Coturnix japonica: one gene and its partners. The protein of the gene in region 4 purifies or fractionates together with the protein of the main gene of each other region. This does not show direct contact. Links are inferred from orthologs where the notes say so. Each region holds a gene or a part of one and is shown on either strand. Other genes may lie near its edges. The genes, in order: ACTL6A, ASH1L, GATAD1, MORF4L1, EPC2 and KDM5A.

Region 1 (3,927 bases), on a different chromosome or scaffold from region 4:
TCTGTGTTCATGCACCTCATTTATGTTACAGGAGCATTTGCTGAAACGAAATTAAAACTCCACTACACGTGTTATTCCCTGTCACGTTAGATGGCAGGCTGATTGCATGCAAAGATGGATTAAGTGTAATATATGAAGACATTCAGACAACTTTTTGCTTTTATTCTGTGCTGTCAAGTGAGGTTATTTTTGATTTTATACTACTTTTTTTTTTTTTTTTTTAAATACATGAAATACAGTAACACATAGTAAGTGTGTTCTAATGAAACGCATAGAAATTCTTTCAAATTTGGGCTTTTTTTTGACATTTTTCCTATTGAGAATACTTTCCAGAACCTGCATGATATTTTTAAATGTTACTTCTGTAGTTCAGTTTTAACACTCATAACCTACAAGCCAGTGCTGGGTTTCTCCAAGACTAATGTCTATAGATTCAGCAAGAAGATACTGATAAGTCTCCTCACAATGCAAAGCTCCTTTTACTCACTGGTGCTTCAGACATAAGGACAGGATGCAAACTCGCTTCAGATTTAATATGCATCTTGTAAGTGTGATCCAAAATTGCCTGGAAACTATCCCAGTCTTCAACTGCAACGACATCGAAGCAAGCAGATTAGTTACTTCTAACTTTTGATCTACTTCATAAATCCACATAAAGTTTTCCTGATGTTTTTTTTTTTCCTAAGAGCTCTTCAGACAAAAGCCGTCCTCAGCAGCCCTATACCCCTCCTGCTTTGCCAAATTCTCATCTATATTTTTTTAAGCATCATGACAGCAAATAAGAATTGTTATTATAAATAATAATAAATAAATAAGTTACAATAAAAGTCCACTGACATTTTGTAAATTGAGCCATTCTTATGGCTGATAGCCTCTGTCCATACACGTTACAGGAACAATATTAGGAACTATTTCCAAAAACTTGTTTCTTAATTGTTTTATCAAAGGAGACAGCTAAATTAAAGCCATCAAATAAACAAGAATCTACAAGTCTCCCATTAAGACATAAAAATGCTCATTATCGTATTAAAATATCTTAAGTGAAAGCAGAACCGTTTCTTTACGAGCCTGCTTTCTAAGTCCAAAGGAAAAAACAGTTGACATGGATAGCATCTGTTTACATGAAAGCTATGACTTGTTGCAGCCTAACAATTGTATCTTAAAGACAGCTAAAAAAGACAGAGCACCATACTCATTCCATTTTTTAAAGGTGAAATGGCCTCCATATTTTCCCTTGGGACTCTCAGGGCATTGGTGTCTATGTAGTACGTTGGGCCCCCTTGTTTGCCTTTGTCACCATCTATCTCCATCAGAGTGCTGCCATTGTCTCTTTCTAGCACCACGCCTATAGCTGTTGGAAAATCAACCTGTAAAGCAAAAGGTAAAATATTGATGAAGGTTATTCATTTTGGATGTGGGTTGTTTTGTTGGTTTTTGGTTTTGTTTTTCATTGGTTTGTTTTTTAGGGGGCTAATAAAATTCAGAGTTTTCCTTAAATAATAATAAACAGTATATTCTGGAAGCTTATGACTAATAAACAAGTTCAAGCTCCAATTGTAATCCCACTGAGTTCATAAAGATTCTTACCTTTGGACAGTCTTCGCCTGCATAGCCTGCTCTCACTGTATACGAGCCAATGTCAAAAACAAGAGCCCCAACTTCATCTGCAAAGATTGTTAACAAAGAAGTAGTGAATGGTTATTGTGCTCTACTGCAATCCTGACCTGAACTTATCTCTTGTCTGCTTTGCTTGCCAGAAAACAAACAAACAAACAAAAAAAAGCCCAATATGATAAAGCATCTTTCCTGAGACACAGAGCAATTTCTCTATTCAGAATTCAAGCTAACTGAGAGCCACCAGGAGGTTACAGATAGGCTGTAACCAGGACACTGCAATACCTTTCATTGGCAAAAGAAAAAGGGCAATTTTAACAGACGAGAGCTGCATCTAAACACAGGCTTGCGAAGCGAGTCCACATGAACTTCATGACATTCAACAAGGCCACGTACAAGGTGTTGCACAGGACTTGAGACTCAGACAGCTGGACATGAGCCAGCAGTGTGTGCTTTCAGCCTAGAAAGCCAACAGCATCCTGAGCTGCATCAGGGGAGGGGTGGCCAGCAGAGCAAGGAAGGTGACCATCCCCTTGTGCCCTGCCCTCGCCAAGTCCCATCTGTTGTACCACATTCAGGCCTGTGGCCCCCAGCATAAGAATGAGATGTTGGAGTGAGTCCAGAGGAGGGTCAAGACAATCAAAGGGCTGAAGCTCCTCTGCTATGGAGAAAGGGAGCTGGCTTTGCTTAGCTTGGAGAAGGTGCCAGTGACAGTTTGTTGCAGCCTTACAGGGAGCTTATAAACAAGAGGGAAACTGACTTTCTACATGGTTTGATAGTGACAGGACGATGGGGAATGGTTCCACACTAAAGGAAGAGATTTAGGTCGCATGTTAGGGGGCAATTTTTCAGAGAGGGCAGTGAGACCCTGGCACTGCTGTGTGTGCCCCATCCCTGCAGGTGACCCAGACGGGTCGGACGGACCCTGGGCCCGCGGCGGCCTCCTCTCCTCACACACGGAGCGATGCGGCGGGAGGGAGCCGGGCCTGAGGGAGCTCAACAGTGTCGTTATATCAGACTCACCTCCGCCGTACACACCGCCGCTCATGGCTGCCCGCTGCTCAGCGCTGTGCTAACAATAGCACTCGGTCTCTCGCCCCGCCGCCCGGCTCAGCGCAGCTCGCAGGCCCGCGCCTTCCCGCCAATGGCAGCGCCGCCGCCGTCCGCCCACCCGCCCGCACTGCAGAGCGTTACCCAACAGAACGGCTGAGTGGGCACAGCGGCCAATCAGAGAAGGGAGGGAGGAGGGGCTTGCTTATGAGTAGCCAATCATGAGGCGGGAAGTGAGGAGCTTGGTAGAGGAGAGTGAGAGCAAGCAAGTGTAGGTGCAGTGCGCGGGAAGGGCGGTGTGAGGAGAGAGGGGCGGGAGGAGCTGAGGGAGGAGTTGGAGGAGGAGCTGAGGGAGGAGCTGAGGGAGGAGCTCTTGAGGTGGGTGTGCCACAGGATCACAGAATGACCCGGGTTGGAAGGGACCACAAGGATCATGTAGTTCCAACCCCCCTGCATGGCAGGGCCACCAAACATACACCTTTACTAGATCAGGTTGCCCAGGGCCCCGTCCAACCTGGCCTTGAACACCTCCAAGGACGGGGCATCCACAACCTCCCTGGGCAGCCTGTTCCAGGGCCTGACCACTCTCCTAGTGAAGAACTTCCCCCTAACATCCAACCTAAATCTTCCCTCTTTTAACTTCAAACCATTTCCCCATGTCCTGCTATTGTCAGCCTTTTCAAAGAGTTTTATAGGTGTTTGCATGAGGAAGATCAGCACAAATCTTTCTTTGCCACTAGTTGTACTGTGTAATGTTGGTGTGCTTTGATTTATTTTATGGTGCCCTTTAATGTGTTATAGTGATTTCTAGCACGTGGCACTAATACCCAAGGTAGAGTTGGTGGAGAAGGATGAATTAATTGCAGTTGGGGAAGGCTGTAAAGCAAAATGGGTGTTAAAACACTGGGGGACGTTTCTTCAGCTTGTGCCTGTACTTGGGCTTTGTTTTCATAGTGGTTCATAACATCCCTGTGGTAACTGATGCTTTGGGGCAGACCCTGCTCTCCCCAAGAGTGGCTTATGATAGCTTTGTGGGTGAGACAGGGGGCCCAGGGGGGTTGGAACTTCATGATCCTTGAGGTCCCTTCCAACCCAGGTCATTCTGTGAGACACCAAGACAGCCGTCTGCTGCTTCATTTATCTGTAACTTTTGCAGCACTTGAGATCTCCCAGTGGTGCCAGCAGAAGAGGCGTGTGGCTGTGCAGCATGGGGAGAGGGCGTTCCTGTGCACGACCAATCTTTCCTGCTCAGCAATTGCCTGG
Region 2 (3,500 bases), on a different chromosome or scaffold from region 4:
AAACGCTCAGCATTTCTTAGCACAGCAGAATGGAGGTCCTTGAACAGCAAATCCTCTGCTGGTGCCACTGCCATTTCCTGTGCTCAGTCTCAGTTGCATCTAGGGATATATGTAAGATGAGCTTCCTAGCTACGAATAAAACAGTCATTACAATGTTTGGTCTTGGGCATTCCCAGGATCATTTTGCAGCTGTTTGGAGGTACTGCAAAAGGCCTCAAGGATCAAAGCCAAACTACAGGAAAAATTATCAGAACACCTAAAATCGAGTCATGAAAGAAATACGGAACATCTTCTTTAATGGAAAAGTTGCTCACAGTACTAGTACCCATAGCTAGCCTAAAATCAATCCATCAAACTTCAAAACAAGCAGAAAGATGGTTTCTAAAATGATCAGAAATCGTAAGGAAAAAGAAAAGACTTTTGAATGAGAAAACATCCCTAGAAAACTTTGTATGCTTCTACAACTAAGCAATGCAAATCTGGTGGGAAAAGGTACTTAGGCAGCCCTGTACATAGGAGACTTCCCATTAATCTGTGCCAGAAGCTGAGCAGAACAGTGCACTGACACAACAGAAATCCTCCATCAAAACAATGGTAGTCCTAAAATCCAACACAGAAAAAACTTCCACAAAGCCAAATCTATCGCTGCCTGCCTTCCCAATGCAAGCTGCTTTAGAGCTTACCATAAGACTCATGTGGTGATACAATGAGAGCTCCCTTACCTGACAGTGGCTGCAGTGCCTTTTCAATAGAAGGCAATGGTTCCTTTCGGAGCGGTCGATTTAGCGAGCTGTCCTGTGCACTGAAGAGTCCGGGGCTGTCAGTTAGTTTTTTACGTCCATTGGTGCTGGTAGAGTTTGTGACTCTGCAGCTGCCTATTGCACTTGTGAAAAGATTTGTGTGTTCATCGCTGCTGGCCGGCTCGGAGCTGGGAGTAAATCCCCCCAGGGACAGACCTGGGGAGCTGTCTGAGCAGTCTATCTGTAACGGCGTCTGCAACCCCAGTGCTAAGGAATTAGACTCCGAAGGCTCCCTCCGGACCCACTGTTCATCTCTGCTTAGCAATCCCTTTGAAGGCGACAGGTGGGGACAAGACATGTGACATCTGTGTTTCTCCTTATGTTTGTACCTCTCACCGACAGCCTCTTTCCCAAATCTGTAGCGCTTCAAGGACTCCAGGACTGTTCTTGAAGAGCTATTAGCCGTGATGGTGTCCATGGAAACCTGCTGCTGCTCGGATGTACGATGCTCTCTGTGTTTGTGGCGATGCCTGTGCTTGTGTTCCAGCATCCAGCCATAAGCCATCTCGGGTGGAACGCTGGGGTACGTGCTCATGGACAAGAGCGGAGTCCTACTCGTCGTGAGGAAAGCCTCCTGCCGTAAAAGTTTATGCTTTTTCTTGTGGTATTTGGTGGGATTGAGAAGCAAATGGCCTGTATGCATGTAGGAGGGTGGTGGCAGCGGGGTGGTGAAAGAAGGAGAAGGTGGTGGGGGATAAAGAGTCGGAGGGTACCTTCCGTAATAACCTAAGCCTATGGGAGCAGCTGCGAGGGGGGAAGGAGAGTAAGGCATGCCATAGGAGGGATAGAACCCGGTGCTGGAGAGAGGAAAGCTGAGGCTATGCATGAAAGGCATTTCTGCCATAGCCTCCCTCATTTTCGGAGGCCTGCCTCTCTTCTTCTTTAAATCAGGTTTCCTAATGTAGTGCAACGGATCTAAAGGAAAAGTAGGGTGAGTATAGAAACTATTGAAATTTATCCGGAAAATGGTAGGCAGGAGATCTCGGGGGATAAAATGGTGACTTCTGTGGGTTATTCTAATCTCGCTTAATCGACTGATTAACTCTTCCAATTCAGCCAGGAAATCCGGGTCCTGCCTACCTCGAAGCTGAGGATACTTCTTTTTCCTTTTCCGCTTCTGCCTCTTCATTTTGTCATAACTGAGGTAATCGTGACTCCGGCGCTTGCATTTGTGTTTATGCTTTTCTTTGAGATTACTTAAAACCGTGGAAGCTTCGGGTGCGATAAGGGAAACGTGATCAAACGAATGCCTCTTCTTTTTCTGCCCACAAAACTTCTCGGCTCGATCTGAAGTGCTGTTGTTATCTGTTCCTATCCCGCTGTCGCTGGGTATGGTCTCATCGCTGTGAGATTCGCTCACGGGGGAAGGAGTGGCTTCTTTCAGCGATGTCAGCTCACTCAAGTGAGAAGGAGAGTTTGGCAACAACGTGGGTGGAGATAATCTCCTCCTTCCCTTAGCAGCTTTCTTCATTGCGAGTGTCTGAACAACGCTTCCTTGCCTGGAGTGGATGTGCAAGTACGGCACCGAGCTGGGCTCGATGAATCCCGCGTCGCTGCTGACGGGGCTCTGCCCCCCACTGACTGCAGAGGACTGGGAGCAAACAGGGGATGGGAGAATCTCGGAACTATTAGCTGCTGAAGGCAGCAAGTGGGGAAGTACTTGGCCAAATGATGTGCCGGGAGTTTGCTGGGAAGATTTCTCAAGAACTGTCAGACTGGCAGAATTACTAGTTAAAATACCGTTCAGGACAGCTTTGGGTTTCCTTCCCCTCCTTTTTCCTATGTAAATCGTTCCTTTCTTGCTGACGTTAATTTGCTGGCCTAATTTTGAACCGAAAGTGGCGGCGAGTGTCGACACCGTGTTGTGGAGCTTAGATTGCACTTTCCCTTTATTTGGTTCCACCGTACTCGAGAGAATCTGATTCAAAAGTTTCTTTCTCTTCAAAGTTTTCATTTTATTTATTTTCCGAATAATAGTTTTCATTAACTGCCCGTTGTTTCTCTTGGCAACTTTTCTGTCTGAGTCTCCTTCCAAATCACTCATGCTACAAATATTAGGTTTTTGGACATCTTCTGGTCCTCGGAGCTGGTCCTTTCTCTCAAAAAACTCCCCGCTCCGATGCTGATCACTTTCAGATTCTATCTTGTTTGAGCTTTCTGTTCCAACAAAAGGTGCTACAGAAAGAATTGGTGGCTTCATTTTGATCGATGACCTCATCTGCCTTTTAGGCCTCCCCCTCTTTTTAGGAAAAGCTTGTCCCGATAAACTCTGCTTTAGGGAAGGAATTTCCACCTCTGGCTGCAAAATGGGAGGTTCTTGCTCTTCTTTTGACTGCACCGAAAAGACTTTTGACGCTGGGATCTTTAGAGTTCTTTTGGGGGGACCTTCAAGCTCGGGCATCTCCTTGGATTTAGGTCTTCCTCTTTTAGGTTTATACATGTCAGGTAAGAAATCATCCGACATACACAAACTTGAAGGTTGTTTGTGTGCACTGTAGAACTTTGGAGTCTGCTTGTCAGACTCGGTTAGCAGTGCAAGAGACTGTCCACTACCCTCGTTCAGTTTTGGCAGCTGATGCTTAACAAATTCGTGCTCCACGAATGAAGACGACCCTATGTTTTTTAAGAATTTGGCCTGCTCCAAATTACTGTTGGATAGTGCACTGTATGAAATGTTTTTAAAAAGCTCTGACCTTTCTA
Region 3 (4,147 bases), on a different chromosome or scaffold from region 4:
CAAACTTCTCCTATGGGATTTGCAAACCTGAGAATATATTGAAAACAACTGGTCCGAAGTGTTCCTTTAAAAAATCATAAATTATTGGTAACAGTTTCTTTAATGGAGATTGCAGGGGTAGGTCCTACATGAGTCCATATATACCCCTTCTCTGGTCTTGTGGGGACGGTAGGGAAGGGAGACGATCGAGACTTGAAATACTCCGAAGGTGCGTGACAAACAAATTCCAAATACTCCATTTTCCGTGGGAGATCTTCTTCTGGTCCTATGGGAAAAAACATAAGGATTTTCAAATACAAATTCTGAAGGCATAAAATTGAAGAGTCCAAGATGATACAAAACTACTTTGCACAGTATTTGAGGCTACAGCACCAGTGAGAAACCTCTTTATTTCTACTGGGTTGATTTTTTTTCTATTTGAAGAACACATTCTTACTATACTATACTGTACTATACTGTACTATACTATACTACACTGTTTGTGCTTGCCTGTCAGAAAGATTTACTCAACTTATTAATACATAACCAGCTGCAGAACACTCTCTATGCCGGTGCTTGTACACAATGTACTTTATATATCCAAGATTAAAATCAACTAATTCTGGTCACTCCAGAAGAAACAGCTTGGACTGGCACATCTAGTTTATGTCATAATAACCTGAATTCTACCTGAGGAATAGTAGTTGGATCCTTAGAGTTTTGACACTGTAATTGTGCGCTTGAGCACAAGTAAACAAGGGCACTCACTGCAGCAGTGCTGCTCACATACATGAACCTGAAAAAGTATTCAAGTAAAGTAAATGGATTAGGGTCTAAAATGTAGGAATGACATAAAGGACCATGACAAACTAATGAAGTACACTTAAAGTTACAACTCTGCATTAGTCTGGGAACATGTAAGCAGTCGTATGCAATGAAGGCTTAGAGAATACCTATGATATAGGATGCGGGGTCAAAGCAGTCCTTGGGGCTGGCTTGTGTAGGAATAAGCCATGTTAGCGCAGCACTCTTCTCACAGTATTGGTCCTGGATAAACCCCCGGATCTGGGCGTAGTACGTTTTGCCATCCTGCTCATCAACTACTGAAACAACGTCTCCTATTTGGTAGTACACACCCTAGAAGGCACACAAACGAAAGTCAAATCAATCTGATTTCAGAAGCTTCGCTCTGTTTCACATGTTGAATATCATGACCTTACACTATCTCAAATTACCCCAATCTCAATACAGCCATAGTTTTCCCACATACAGTGAAAGGTGGCACAAACCAGAGCACTGTCACACCTGAGCAGTCACCAGCACGACCTGCCCACAACCACCCAATGTCTGGAACTTTGAGTTCAGTCCCTGAACTGTTTTTGAAGCTCGACAGGTAATTCCTCACCATCTCTGCCTGCCAAAGGCCACAGAAGCAGCCTGGCATCACCCACCTTCAAAGAACCAGCTCTCAATTGCTCTGCAGCTCTCAATTGCTCTGCATCCCCCCTTCCCACCACCACTGCACCTCCCACCTGCACAGCATCGATGGTTTTATGTCAGTAGTGTGATGCCACCTTCCATAAAAAGCAATAGCAGCAATCGCCCTGTGCATGCAGGGAAAGCAGCTTTCTGCACATGAAGTTCATCTATCTGTGTGCAAAGCAGCCTCAAAACACAGTCACCTCCTGATTAGGTCAGGCGTCAGTCAGTGCGCAATGCTGCACAGCAAGGCCAGCATCACTTGGTGTCGTAACATCGTGTCAACACATTGCAGTGTCTGCACTGTCAAGACTGGACTACTGGAAGGGGACCCAAGGGGATCAAGCAGTTCAGCTCCTGGCTCCAGGCAGGGCCATTCAAAACTCAAGCCCTGTTTCCGAGTGCACCATCCAAACACAGCTTAAACTGGAGCAGCTGGTGCACTTCACTACCAGGGCACTGGGACCACTCACACACAGCCCAGGTGGGAGCCCGGCCAGCTGATACCTCTCTGATGAACACAGGGAGACAAGGGTGAGTAAGATCCTTCTGGTGTACGGGGGCTGTACCTTATAGAAGATCGACTCTGCGGTAATGATGGTGGATACGGATTCAGGGGCCTTGATGGGCTGGGGAAAACAACACAGATGGAAGAGCATTAAAGCAAAGCAAGAGAACTAACTGCAGGGTGGGTTTTCTCGCCCTTTAAAGCCGATGACATACTGACGGAGACTCGCAGTGTTTGGATACACGGGAAACGAGCCGCAGCCGTCCGTGCTTTACACAGGAGCACTGGGGCCACAGAGCTCCGGGCCGCATCCCGCCCGCCCCGGCAGCGCCTTACGTTCTTCAGCTTGAAGATGTGCCTCCGGCCTTTGCCCTTCGTGGACACCTTCTTCTCGGCGGCAGGCGCGGACTTGTACTTGGTGTTCCTCAGCCGGGCGGACCGCCGGTGGATCTCCTGCTTGCTCTGGGGGAGGGGACGGAGGGTTAAACACAGCGGGAATGGAATGGAGCCGCCGCAATGGAGCCGCCCCGCCTCACCTGCTTCCCTCCGCCTCCCCCGCCGTTGCTGTGCTGCGCTGCGGCCGAGGTGGTGGCGAAGGCGGCGGGCCCGGTTGGTGCGGAGCGGGCCGTGCAGTTGTTGCACAGGATCTCGCCCTGCCCGCCCTTCTTCCACATGGACGAGGACGTGCTGCGGCACACGCTGCACGTGGGCTTCAGCCCCAGCGGCATACTGAGAACGGCGGCGGGGCCCGCGGCCCCCGGCAGGGACACGGGGAAACGCGGCGGCTCCGCCGGGCCCGCCTCGCTCTCGGCCCCTCCCCGGCGGCGGATGTCGCTGCGTGGCGGCGCGAAGGGAGGAGCGCGGCACGGCCCGGCCTGTGCTGCCTGCACCGCCATGCGGGGGGAATCGGCATCGCCGCTCTGCTCGTGGACTCCACATAGTGTGGGCTGAGCGCTCCCTGAACAACGGAGCAGGATCGTTTATTCCTGTGAGCTTTCAGATGGTGATGGTTAATCACAGAATCACAGGATTGTAGGGGTTGGAAGGGACCTCTAGAGATCATCAGTCCAACCCCCCTGCCAAAGCAGGCTCCCTACACCATGTCACACAGGTAGGCGTCCAGGCGGGTCTTGAATATCTCCAGAGAAGGAGACTCCACCACCTCCCTGGGCAGCCTGTTCCAGTGCTCCGTCACCCTCACTGTAAAGAAGTTCTTCCACACATTCGTGCGGAACTTCCTATGCTGTACTTCCATCCCATTACCCCTAGTCCTGTCCCCACACACTACTGAAAAGAGACCAGCCTCACCACTATGGCTCCCACACCTCAGGTATTTATAAACCTGGATCAAGTCCCCTCTCAGCCTTCTTTTCTCAAGGCTAAACAGACCCAGTTCCCTAAGTCTCTCCTCATAGGGGAGATGCTCCAGGCCCTTCACCATCTTAGTGGCCCTCCGCTGGACTCTTTCCAAGAGATCCCTGTCTTTTTTGTACTGGGGAGCCCAGAACTGGACACAATATTCCAGATGAGGCCTCACCAGGGCAGAGTAGAGGGGGAGGATCACCTCCTTCGACCTGCTGGACACGCTTTTTTTAATACACCCTTACTATTAGAAGTGCTGCGTATCCACATATGCTCCATGCATCCCCTGCTTACATAGTTTAATTATTCTGCAATAATTTAATTGCGCTGCTTCCTCTCGGCTTCCTGTATCTGCTGGCTCCTGTCTGAAGAGTCATTATTAGTGTTGTGTCTGTCTGCAGAGGATGCACCTGGAGGGCTGGTCTGGAGATATCTGTGCTGTGAATGCGTGTAATTGGGCACAACTGCCCGACTGGTGCAGTCTGGGTTTCCACATGGTCCTGTGCTAAGGTTCATGTGCTCCTTAGCTCTCTTATTAGGGCTTTTTTTTTTTTCCTTTTAATTACCTCAGCTATAAGGGACACTATTCTTGAAATGTATTGGAGAGTTTTTACGTGTATAGCACACATATCTTGGCAACATGTAGGTCTTAATTCCTCATTCAAAAGCATGGTAAAGCCAAGAACCAGCCCCATTTTGGAAGTCGCTGGGTTCTGGCCCAAGGCACATTGCAGTGGCAGAGGCAGTACAGGTTTCCTGATTATCTGTTATCTTCACATATTGCTGTTTCTGCTTCACCCAAACAGCTCTTGAGGATCC
Region 4 (3,500 bases):
ATTCAAAGCAACAGTAGACTCCTGTTCACTGGGTGACAATGGGTAGAGAACCACCGAGGTGGCTTCAACAGCTTCCTTTAGGAAAAAGTGCCAGGGAAGGGGCAGAACGCAGGGAGAGAGCAAATGTTCTGGATGTAGGACTGTGTTCTTGAATGGTGTCCTTGAAGGCCTGGACCACCTAGGTCTCAAATACCAGGCTGAGCACAGCACTGAGGTATGATTAACAACTCTGCAAGTTTCTTCATGAACGAGACATCCAACAACAACGAGACAACACTGAGATCTGAACTGAGATCTGAACTGACTGCTACTTACTTGTTATCAGTATTTCCTCGAGATTTCTTGTAGTTTGCGTAATCCTCTAAAATAGAGTCAACGTTCTTCTTGGCAGGAAGATAGAAGAGCTGTGGAAGACACAAAACCGAAAATACAAACTGACAAACTTAAACTGATAGACATACAGATATTCTGGAATAAAATTAACAAGTCAGTGTGTAAAGCATTGCTAAAACTCCAGCTGGTTCAGTGGTACACATCAAGACACCTAACAGCAGCCACATTCATGTTCTCATTTTGCATTTCTGCAACTTAAAATCAACCTGAAGATGAACTATTAAAGCAACCCAAGAATCAAAGGTAAGCAGCAAAGCAGACAGATGTCAGCACACCTGCCTACACCAGGCCACAGACCACGCCTGTACAAGCAGCAGCAGCCTGGACTACTATTTTTCTTGCTTTGCTTCCTGCATCCAGTTCAGCACCCAGGACTGGTAGCAAACAAACCTGCTGGGCACCTGCTGGGACCAATAATAATGAACAGTTTTCAGCAACACTTAGTACAACTGGCAAGAAGAATGCAAAGTCATTTCACTTACTAACAAGCTCCTGAAAAAATATTACATTTCTTACAATGGAAGACAGTTTATTTTAGGCAAAACTGCTCTATCAGGAGTCTTTATACAGATCCAGCTTGGCAGCACAGCTAAAAATCACTATTCTAAGACCATATTTAGTCAGAGCTGTAGATGCTTCAGTTGCTTTCTGAATGAGTGATGCATAAACAAGACAGGACAGAACATCACCTGTAATGCTCATACAGACTAATTCTGTCACCTAAGCAAACTTTTCAAGGCATTCCAATAGGCCAAACACGCTTAGAGGAACATCACAAAACTTGTAATTACTTGACATTGAGCTTATGCCCAATTAGACTGATTACAGTCTACAAACTTGCACACAATTCTGCTGCACAGTCCAACTCACAGATGACCTTCAGGTAAAATCCAATTGCAACCAGAACTGTCAAGTAAGGCTTCTGTCAAACTCTATGAGGGATTTTGCTGCACTGCACTCAAGTGAGATATGAATTCTAAAATTACCTGTTTTTGCCTGGTGATCAAGTCCCAGTCATCTACCAGCCACGGTTTCAACTCTTCTGGGATTTTCACCTTTACTTCAACTCTGTTCATAAATGTTTCTTCCTGGGGAAAAAAGAAAGTGGATTCACACTAATTACTTTCAGATAACCAATTGAGATAAGGCACTCATCCCATCCTTTCCACAAAGGAAATACACTACAGGAGTAAAGAACTGCTAAGTCATCTCTTGGGGGAGCAGGGAAATAGCTCAGGTTTTAAGGCCACCTGGCAGGCCTAGCATTTCAAGAAGCTGTAACAATTCACACCGCCATACTGCAGGATAAAGCACTGCTGTCTGTGTTTCTGAGCAAAGCAGCTCTTCTGTTCCCCATCAAAAATCCTGTAGGAGAATCATACACACATACACTTTCCACTGTTGGATCTACTCGTGCCCTTTTCTTCCTAGGAGGCTGAGGAGTCTCACTGCTGCTGCTCCCTTCTCCAATTCCAGGAGCTGTACAGAAGAGAAACAGTGTGCTGTGTAAGAAGTCTGGTAAGGCCATAAGAAATAGCAATAAAAAAAAAGGAACTTTTGGAACCAACAACTCAGCTATGCAGACATGTCCCATCCCAGTATGAAAACTGAGGTTTGACTTAATAGTGAGAATTATTTCAGCAGATCAATGGGAATACCATTCTATTTCCAAGGGGTCTAAATCATGACAGACTGGAAGAGTCCATGTACAAAGCAGCAAATTATACAGTCCTGTTTTATTAACTAGCAAATAATACAGAAGAGACACCTGAAGTCCAGGAGAAGCACCATAAGTTGACAGGAACTAAACTCAGTGGGGGCAGATTTAAGGTCTTATTCCAGCTAAGAATCCTTCCCTAACAAAGTATATCCACTTACACACACAATAAAGATGTACTTACTTTTCTGCTTGTTCTTTTTTGTTTTCCTGCAAGAAGAACACAAATTATTGCAAACATAAAAATGAAAGTACTGAACGAATTGAAAGCCAGAAGTACAGTAAGTTCAGATCCACAAACACTCAGGGGCCTACAAAGAATTTAGAAAACAACAAAAGGAGATTATTTACCACCATAATACTGATGCTTCAAGATTCCTGTGGAACAAAGGGTGGTGTTCTCTTTTTGGGGATTAATTCAACTCAAATCTACAGAAGACAGGCCATGAGTAGTTCCAAAAAACAAGCATCTTAAAGCACTCCTAGCCATCATTACCCAGGAACATTCACCAATGCTTCGTATTTCCCAAATGCTTGTAGAGGTGCTATTTCAGCATTTCAGAGATCTCTCAAAGACAGAACAAAGGACAAGGGAACATCAGACAGCTCAGCCAACTGACTGTCCTGCAGAGTACTGGAAGAATGATTTCACCGCTTCAGCAGCACCATCAGAATTCATTGTGTGCATCAAATTGCATGGACTGCCTATCATGGCATCAAAGTTCAGGGGAGATCACAATTGAGATCACAATGCCTCTCACTCGTAACATCTGGAACAACACTGAATAGCAGCGTCCCTAATATTTATCTTCTTCCAGATGCTGCTCCCAAAATGTGCTGTACATACTTCAAACTTCCCCCAGTCCTCATTTGTATTCCAAACTGAGGGTCATACTGAGAAACTTACGTGCAAACATTTTACAGACACCTGCCATGCAATGCCTGCTATATGCAAATATTCAGATAAGTCCAGAGATATTAGAAACAAAAATTAAATTGCCCTAGCAGGTTTTCATTATTTGAACTTGGTATATTCACTGATTTTATTCATTTACTAAGAAAATTGGAACTAAGAGCATTACCAGCCTTGTTCCCATTTGTTTATTATTAACAGGAGTCCAATTAAACCCCTCAGAAAGTAAAAGAAATTCTGCGTGCCAGATCCCAGATGATGAGATAAAGCTTTGTAGCAGCACATTATTATTTCTTTGGAAGCTCATCACCACGTGAAGTGACACTTGTGTGTCTTTCCTTCCAAACCTACAGTGAACAAGCAAAAATGGAGTTCAGAAAATTGCTGTCAGGATAGAAAACAGTTTTAGAGCGTCAGCCTAGCAGAGTCTTAGCAAAGAGGTGTAGGCAGGCCACATAAAATACTCTAAGAATGACC
Region 5 (3,500 bases), on a different chromosome or scaffold from region 4:
AGCCTTGGCTGAAAACACTGCAGTCGACATGATCTGATATTGCTTAGTATTTCAGAAAGGGACAGTCTGTTTTCACAATGTTTATTGGAAGCATTGGTCCGTGAAAAATTAGAAGAAAAGTCTAAAGTCTGGGAAGAGCTTGAAAAACTATTCAGCATTTCCGGGTCAATCTGTCTCAAGACAGGATCATGTTCTGTGGATATTCGGTCCATTATAACCCTGATTTAAGAGATGGAAAAAGAAAGGATGTTATTTATGTCTCATATATATATATGCTTTTATACTTTGAAGGGAAACAGAGTGAAAACAATGCAATCGTACCTTCCACCCCTGCCAACTCGTCTTCTTGCAAATCCTATACACCTTCTTGGAATTGTAAGGGTTGTAAGGCAATGCCTGAACCTCAGTTTGTCCAATTCTGCCAATTCTGCATTTTCATAGGAAGAATTAGTTTGGTCCAAACGAGGCTGGAAAGAATAAAGGAGAGACAATTTTGCACATTTCTGAAAACACAAAGTAGTTTGTGGTATTCTCTGAGTGATCACAATAGCAAAACACCTGCATGGCAGGAACAGAAGCAGATGCCAGCACACATTTGAGTTGTGCAAACAACTTGCAACACAACTTGTAGGAGATGCCTGTGATCTAACCTGAGTACTCAGGGAGGTTGTCTGGGCTTCTGGAGCAGACAACCTGGCAACTCAGTTACTTCTCCAGTGAGTTATAATAGGCAGCCTTAAAGACCATACAGTCACAAATTTTATTTTGCTTTTACAACCAACTCCAATTAACGCGCCCACATCTGAGAACTAAGACAAGTAGCATCCCATGAGCTTTATAAGCTGGGAACAAAGGATGTGTTAGGAGAACCAAGGGGAACATATGGAAGGGGTGGGAGTCCTCCCATTCAAACAGTGGTTGAACTAGGCTGCTGGCAATGCTTTGTGTTACCTTTAGGAAGTCAGAGGAACAGCACAAGGAAAAACATTCTTGTGAAAAACTCAGATTTTCTTTGGAGTCACCATCACCAAGATTTTCATAACGAAAAGGGACTAAAAGAACTATTCCGCTGACAATATGACAATGAAACAAAAACAAAACAAGAACACCCAACACACTAAATGCGACAGCAGTTAGCCTTACAGCATAATACTGGCATCCTGCTCTTCTCCTGAAAGCACAGGGTCCATCAGGATCATTTTCCTCTTCTGCTTCTGATACCGGTGAGGGTACCTAAGCCAGAAAGCAAAGTTATTCTTCCAACTGCCATATGTATATAATACAGATATTAAAATATACAATATATAGCATCCAATTGACTAATATGGTAAAAGCGTATTTTTATACAAGTTTGCATTTGACATATTTTATAAATATTGGTTTATATAATATATAAAGTTCTCCAAAACACAATTTGGAAGATGAAATAAACTCAAAGAGCTTCTGCAAACTGTCCAACACAGTTATTCTCCACTTCAAGCTATCCTGTCCATATTCCAGATAGCTGAGTTCTCCACTTTCTGTAGGCTAAAAGAAATTGTAATGGACTGTTACCTGCGGGAACTCATCTTCATCTGAGCTGTGGAAGTCATACTGCTTGATATCACTCTTGTTGATAACAGGCAAGGGCTCAGCAGAGGGCTGTTGAGCAGTTACCACACACTCCATTTTCGGTTTCTTCAGATACTTCTTCTTCTGACGTACAACATCTGATATCTCCTCCTTTAGAGATGAATGATGAGGATGCTGTTTGTGAAAAACAGGAAGAGTTCCAACAAATAAAAGCATGTAATTAATATTGTTTCTTCACCTCATGGCTTAGAAAAACATGACTGCTCATCTTCCAGGGCCTCTCAACATGCTGCACTAGTGGACAATATCAGATACACTGCAAAATTTATTCAAAGCATCTGGAGACCTCAAAACCTTACTTCCAATTGTCTTTACAGAAGTTTATTAGTAAACTGAAAGCTTTCATGCTATGTGACTACATTAAGAGGTTCCTTTCTTTTCATCACTCTCAGGATACTGTAATTGGAAAGCCTATTTCAATTGCTTTCTGAGGTCTCAGTTTTCTATGCCAAGAATTTACTGTTTTCTTAATTGCTCAAATCTGTTCACAAGAAACATTCTATGTTCTCCAGTTCTCACATGGCTTGTGTTTCTTGTAAGATCTCATGCTACTAGTTTTTGCAATGTTTTTATTTAATTTTTAAGATTTTGTTAACATTAATCCTCTCCAGCAATCAAGTAAGCAACTGCAGCAATATTAAACTGTTATTTGAACACAAACGTTTTACAGCTTCAAAGCTCTCCAATTAATGATTACTTTCTCTTCCAAATTTTTCAATTAATGAGTAAAAGCCAGAGAAGCTTTTTGAAAAACTCTTTAATTCTTCCCCCAAATTACCACTTGTCAGTAGCTGCCTGACTGAAACTAACTCCAGTTCAGCTTCATAAACCAGAGATGAGAAACAGCAGGCACAATTCCCAGCAGAGAAAGGGAAGGGATCTGTACTACATCCAGTGACCACTGGGTGTCGCAGGTGCTAAATACAAACTTCAAAAGGGCTTCAACTCCCGAGCTTTACAGATGAGTGTTTTATAGCACTCCAACAATTCCAAACAGCTCCTAGAATCCTCCAGTATTCTTGCTGTAAATCAGCAGACTGTCTTTGCACTGAGGGCTAACCAGTACTCATGGACAATAGTACAGGAAAAAGGCAGTGCTCTAAGTGCCTGTCAATGGGAAAACAATTCACTGCTTGGCCATCTCAGTGTTGTTCTTTTGCACGCTTACAGCATTCATGTTCACATCACCATACAGTGAAAGGGACAGAACTGTGAGAAGAAAAAAATGAAGGCTACCACAGAGGTGTTTGTTTGGTGGGTGATGGCCAATTCTTTTAAAATTTAGGTGAGAAAAAAAATTAGATGTTAAACACAGCAAGCATATCAATCTGCTAGACAATTTTCTAACGCAAACACCTGCAGGGTACAGGCAACAGGAGACTTGAAGCAGAAGGAAGATTACCTTAATTTTACATTCTTGAACTTTGTGATGATTTCCATTATGAAGAGTGGATGCAGTTGTGCTCATCTCTTTTTCAGGTCTGTTAAGCTTCACTTCATTGAGAATTTCACCTCCATAATCACCCAAATGGTATCTTAAAAAAAAAAAAAAAAGTTAATTAAAATAGTCTATTTCCACTGGGAAACATCAGAGGAACAAGGAACAGGCAAAGAGGCTGCATAAAAACCTTTCTGTTTCAGCTTCTGAAGTCTACATAAGTAATACATGCCTCCAGCCATGCATGTGTGCAAAAGAAGAGCATCCATGTAGGAATAAATCACAGGAGCTGTTATCAAACCTATTTAATGAGAAGTAAAACCTTAGAGTTATAAGTGACATAATTTGTGAGCTTACCTTTTCTCTACAACTTCCAACGTTAAATGCAGTAACTCGCGTTTTGTCTTCTCTCTCCTCTTAATCATCTCCA
Region 6 (3,500 bases), on a different chromosome or scaffold from region 4:
CACAGTTTCCCTCCTGCTATTGTGATTTAAAACAATTTTCTCAATAACACTTGAAAAATAGTTTGACTACCATATTTACTAAATTAAATAACATGCAACAACCTCCCTTTGATTTTAGAGCTTTGATTAAAAATGCATTCCCTAAATATGTTTTCGTAACTCCACTGCTTATATTTATTTGGATTCAACTGAAACAAAATGGATATAACAAATTCACACTCAGGCAAAAAAAACAAACCAACCAGGTTATATACTGAAATAGAAATGCATTTTTAAAAAAATCAGCTTTCTGTATAAAACTTACAAATACTGCAAGGCTGTCTGATTGTTTTAGATGTGAAAGAAAATCACTCAGAAACCTCAATGAGATTCTCTGGGGTATGCACCAAAACAGCACATAAACACTGAATTCAAAAACACTGAAAACGTTCCTTGCCATTCTTTCCACAGCTAATAGTACAAAACGCCACATTCTTACTTTTGTTTTGTTGCTTATATAACAGAAGAAAGCAAAACCAAACCTGATTAAACTGAAATTCTATTCTTCTTCCTGAAAGACGTAGGAATACCTTTGTTTTTTTATCTCTTCAACAGAAAGTACAACTCAAGGGCTTTCCTTGTGTAAGGGAAAATCACTGATAAGCAGCTCACATCCCTGCAGGCTCTCATGGCCAGGCTGGATGGAACCCTGGGCAGCTAAGCTGTTCAGTGGCAGCCCTGTCAACAGCAGGGGGTTGGGCTGGGTAGGCTTTAAGGTCCCTTCCAACTTAAGCCAGTCTAGGATTTTATGATATAATATGATGAGAACAGTTACAATCAAGTGTTCGAATATTTGTGCACATTGGGCATATCAGCATCTCCCAGATTTCTATCATTTCACAGAACTATTGCTGTTTATGGAATTCTATTTTGTTAATTGCTGTTCTAAACCATCCATGTCTGTAACAGAATATTGAAAGCAGACATTGCCCACAATTGTTTTCACTGTTAGGATGTAACCTCATTAGATAAATTCCCTTGTCAGTTAAAATACATCCTAAAAGACAATAAGTGAAGACATTCACTTTTTTTCTAACACAGAATTTAACCGAACTTTAAAGATTATCTCTTTTTGTAATCTAAATTCATTCTGTTTGTTGTTGTTCTTGCCCACAAGTATTTCAGTTACCCTTCTCCATTGTTTTTTATTTGATAGCTTTCTTCAGAAGAAAGGAATAGAAAATAAATCTTGATGGCTGTTTTTTAAGGAGAATTTTTCATAACCAAACTATTCTCCTTCTTGGAAAAAAAAAAGTCCTTCTTTCACACAGGAGAATTCTCATTCCCTATTTTCCTTCAATTTTTTCTTGTTTTAAACTTTAAAAATTAAAACATTCGCTTTTCTAAAATCTGTCAGCCTCTTCTGAGGATCCTGGTTTACTTCAGTAACCTCCAGTTACCACCTCCATCATTTCTCATGTATCTCCCATTCTTAGGTAAGTCGCAAGCAGAGATAAGATGCAGATCATTTTGGAAGAATACTTTTAACTCTGGAAAACAATCTGCTGAGATGCAGTGTTCAGCGTAATCAGCAGTGCTCACTAACCAGGCAACGGACAACTCAGCAAACAACACAATCACTGAGATACAGCAGCTAGAGCAGAATGACATTTATTTAGCAGGTTGGGTTTATTTTTCTTTTTACATTATTTGCTTATTACCTGCATTCTCCAGAACACCTAATTTTCTGGTACAATTCCAGATGTGTACTTCAAACAATAAGCAGAGTCTTATCTATAATAACAAGGTATTGAAATCTAGGACGATCTCTTAGCATTCTCCGGATCTTATACTTCTGCAGTCTGGGGATCATGAGGACAAATTTCTATTTCTAAACACAGTTCCAGATTTATACATAGCTTCCAACACAGCCTAGAAATACTCCTCTGGCTACGTGAGTAGGCTGAGTTCTTCCTTTATTGAAGAATTAAGTTTGGCTATTTTAATAATTAAATTACTTAAAAGATAATGTGTGTATAGGTCTTCTAGAAGGCATTTACATACATATGCATTGACTTTTGACAGACCATTCAAGTGAAATCACCTCTCTCTTTTAAAAAATGCAGCACCTTTAGATGAAATTAAGCAGCCATGTTGTGTCAGAAGTACCATAGAAGTGGCTCTTCCAATGAGATAAAAGAGTTACTCTAAAGAAAGAAGTACCAGAAAAAAAAAAGTCCTACAGGATCTTAATAACACAGTGACACTTCTACACCATGCAGGAGGAAAGAGGTCACACTGGCACTATCCCTTGAGATTAGTTCAAAGCAGAATTCCACACAATGAATGACTGCCGCAGGAATTGCAGCATCCTTAGGGTATTTTTTGGACGCCTCACTAATAAATAAATTGGAAAGCATAGGACTGCTTGTGTGATTGATGCACTGCTATGTGGCTGCAATAAATAATGCCAAGTCAGCTTCTGTTAGTAAAGAGAATAGATTAAAAGGGACAATTTAGTCGGAATCAGTCATGACATAAGAGACAAAGATGAGATTAAGTGTCCTTTATAAACCCAGTTATCAAGCAAAATGTATTGGGGAAAAAGAATACAACAGAATTTTAACCACATCTGACAAAGCTTCACGATGTTTAAAGCAAATATAGAATGATATGAAACAGTAAGAATTTGTTCTAAAGGTAAATCCACCTTTCACTCAAGCTCCATCAAATGGCCAACAGGGAGCTGGTAGAACTGAACCATTTAGTTTTCACAATCTCTACCAAAGTACAGCGGCTAAATATAAACAAACAACAAACAGGTTTTAGAAGTTAAAAACTTCTAAACTGCACATCTACCTCAAGCATAGTCTCAGCAAGACATCTTTCTCTAGATTTTATTTAAGTAAAGATTTCTTTCTCATGGTGCTTTTGAGCAGGCTTCCACAAACAAAGGCTGCCACACTCCCAGTATTGCTTTGCTGGTAGAAGGGATAAGGGTTCTCTGCAATAACCAAGAAATAAGGGTACCTGGGACTTGACACGTCTGGTTCTCTTCAGCACAACATTCATTCTCGAACCTTGCTTTGGTGAAGTCTGGGCATCTGAGCTGAGGTCCTCAGCCTCCACTTTTTCCTTAAGGTTCAAGTTAGGCTTCTGGATGCCCTAGAAGGTCAGAGCACAGAACACCAGTCGATCAATCAGGTAGTGCTGATCATTCTATGGTCTGTAAACCAGCCTCTTTAACTAAGAAATAAGCCAATGACTGAAGTCACACAGCACTGCACATAGCCATTTGGACAAGAGGTTGATTAATCCAGGCATCCTGGGCATGGAAGTTGTTTAGTCTTACTTAAAGGGAACCTACAAGAAAGATAAGCAAATTTTATCAGGGAATTTAGTGAGAAGACAAGGGGTAATGGTTTCAAAATAAGAAAAAAAGGCTAGATTTAAATTAAATACAAGGGAAAATTTCTTCACTACAAGGGTGGTGAAATACTGGAACATGATACCCCAACTTG

Evidence for each region.
Region 1: the proteins of MORF4L1 (region 4) and ACTL6A purify together in Homo sapiens (affinity purification with mass spectrometry; 6 studies listed by BioGRID and IntAct, with this or other methods). This does not show direct contact. The link is inferred for Coturnix japonica from reciprocal best matches to the Homo sapiens genes MORF4L1 and ACTL6A.
Region 2: the proteins of MORF4L1 (region 4) and ASH1L purify together in Homo sapiens (affinity purification with mass spectrometry; 4 studies listed by BioGRID and IntAct, counting the BioPlex papers as one, with this or other methods). This does not show direct contact. The link is inferred for Coturnix japonica from reciprocal best matches to the Homo sapiens genes MORF4L1 and ASH1L.
Region 3: the proteins of MORF4L1 (region 4) and GATAD1 purify together in Homo sapiens (affinity purification with mass spectrometry; 7 studies listed by BioGRID and IntAct, counting the BioPlex papers as one, with this or other methods). This does not show direct contact. The link is inferred for Coturnix japonica from reciprocal best matches to the Homo sapiens genes MORF4L1 and GATAD1.
Region 5: the proteins of MORF4L1 (region 4) and EPC2 purify together in Homo sapiens (affinity purification with mass spectrometry; 5 studies listed by BioGRID and IntAct, counting the BioPlex papers as one, with this or other methods). This does not show direct contact. The link is inferred for Coturnix japonica from reciprocal best matches to the Homo sapiens genes MORF4L1 and EPC2.
Region 6: the proteins of MORF4L1 (region 4) and KDM5A purify together in Homo sapiens (affinity purification with mass spectrometry; 5 studies listed by BioGRID and IntAct, counting the BioPlex papers as one, with this or other methods). This does not show direct contact. The link is inferred for Coturnix japonica from reciprocal best matches to the Homo sapiens genes MORF4L1 and KDM5A.

What each region holds. Positions count from the first base shown.
Region 1 is NC_029524.1:15,354,701-15,358,627, forward strand, and holds the start of ACTL6A (actin-like protein 6A), read right to left. Parts: upstream 2,801-3,927; 5' UTR 2,663-2,800; coding exon 2,638-2,662; intron 1,665-2,637; coding exon 1,588-1,664; intron 1,368-1,587; coding exon 1,193-1,367; intron 589-1,192; coding exon 488-588; intron 1-487.
Region 2 is NC_029540.1:1,741,180-1,744,679, forward strand, and holds part of ASH1L (histone-lysine N-methyltransferase ASH1L), read right to left. Parts: coding exon 723-3,500; intron 1-722. UniProt on the Homo sapiens protein: Histone methyltransferase specifically trimethylating 'Lys-36' of histone H3 forming H3K36me3. Also monomethylates 'Lys-9' of histone H3 (H3K9me1) in vitro. The physiological significance of the H3K9me1 activity is unclear.
Region 3 is NC_029517.1:20,625,708-20,629,854, reverse strand, and holds the start of GATAD1 (GATA zinc finger domain-containing protein 1), read right to left. Parts: upstream 2,801-4,147; 5' UTR 2,695-2,800; coding exon 2,503-2,694; intron 2,429-2,502; coding exon 2,303-2,428; intron 2,088-2,302; coding exon 2,028-2,087; intron 1,117-2,027; coding exon 933-1,116; intron 266-932; coding exon 75-265; 3' UTR 1-74. UniProt on the Homo sapiens protein: Component of some chromatin complex recruited to chromatin sites methylated 'Lys-4' of histone H3 (H3K4me), with a preference for trimethylated form (H3K4me3).
Region 4 is NC_029525.1:17,834,149-17,837,648, forward strand, and holds part of MORF4L1 (mortality factor 4-like protein 1), read right to left. Parts: intron 2,321-3,500; coding exon 2,295-2,320; intron 1,873-2,294; coding exon 1,784-1,872; intron 1,482-1,783; coding exon 1,380-1,481; intron 405-1,379; coding exon 316-404; intron 1-315. UniProt on the Homo sapiens protein: Component of the NuA4 histone acetyltransferase (HAT) complex which is involved in transcriptional activation of select genes principally by acetylation of nucleosomal histones H4 and H2A.
Region 5 is NC_029522.1:31,160,690-31,164,189, forward strand, and holds part of EPC2 (enhancer of polycomb homolog 2), read right to left. Parts: coding exon 3,428-3,500; intron 3,168-3,427; coding exon 3,035-3,167; intron 1,747-3,034; coding exon 1,555-1,746; intron 1,234-1,554; coding exon 1,144-1,233; intron 468-1,143; coding exon 322-467; intron 220-321; coding exon 1-219. UniProt on the Homo sapiens protein: May play a role in transcription or DNA repair.
Region 6 is NC_029516.1:52,336,210-52,339,709, reverse strand, and holds part of KDM5A (lysine-specific demethylase 5A), read right to left. Parts: intron 3,145-3,500; coding exon 3,010-3,144; intron 1-3,009. UniProt on the Homo sapiens protein: Histone demethylase that specifically demethylates 'Lys-4' of histone H3, thereby playing a central role in histone code. Does not demethylate histone H3 'Lys-9', H3 'Lys-27', H3 'Lys-36', H3 'Lys-79' or H4 'Lys-20'.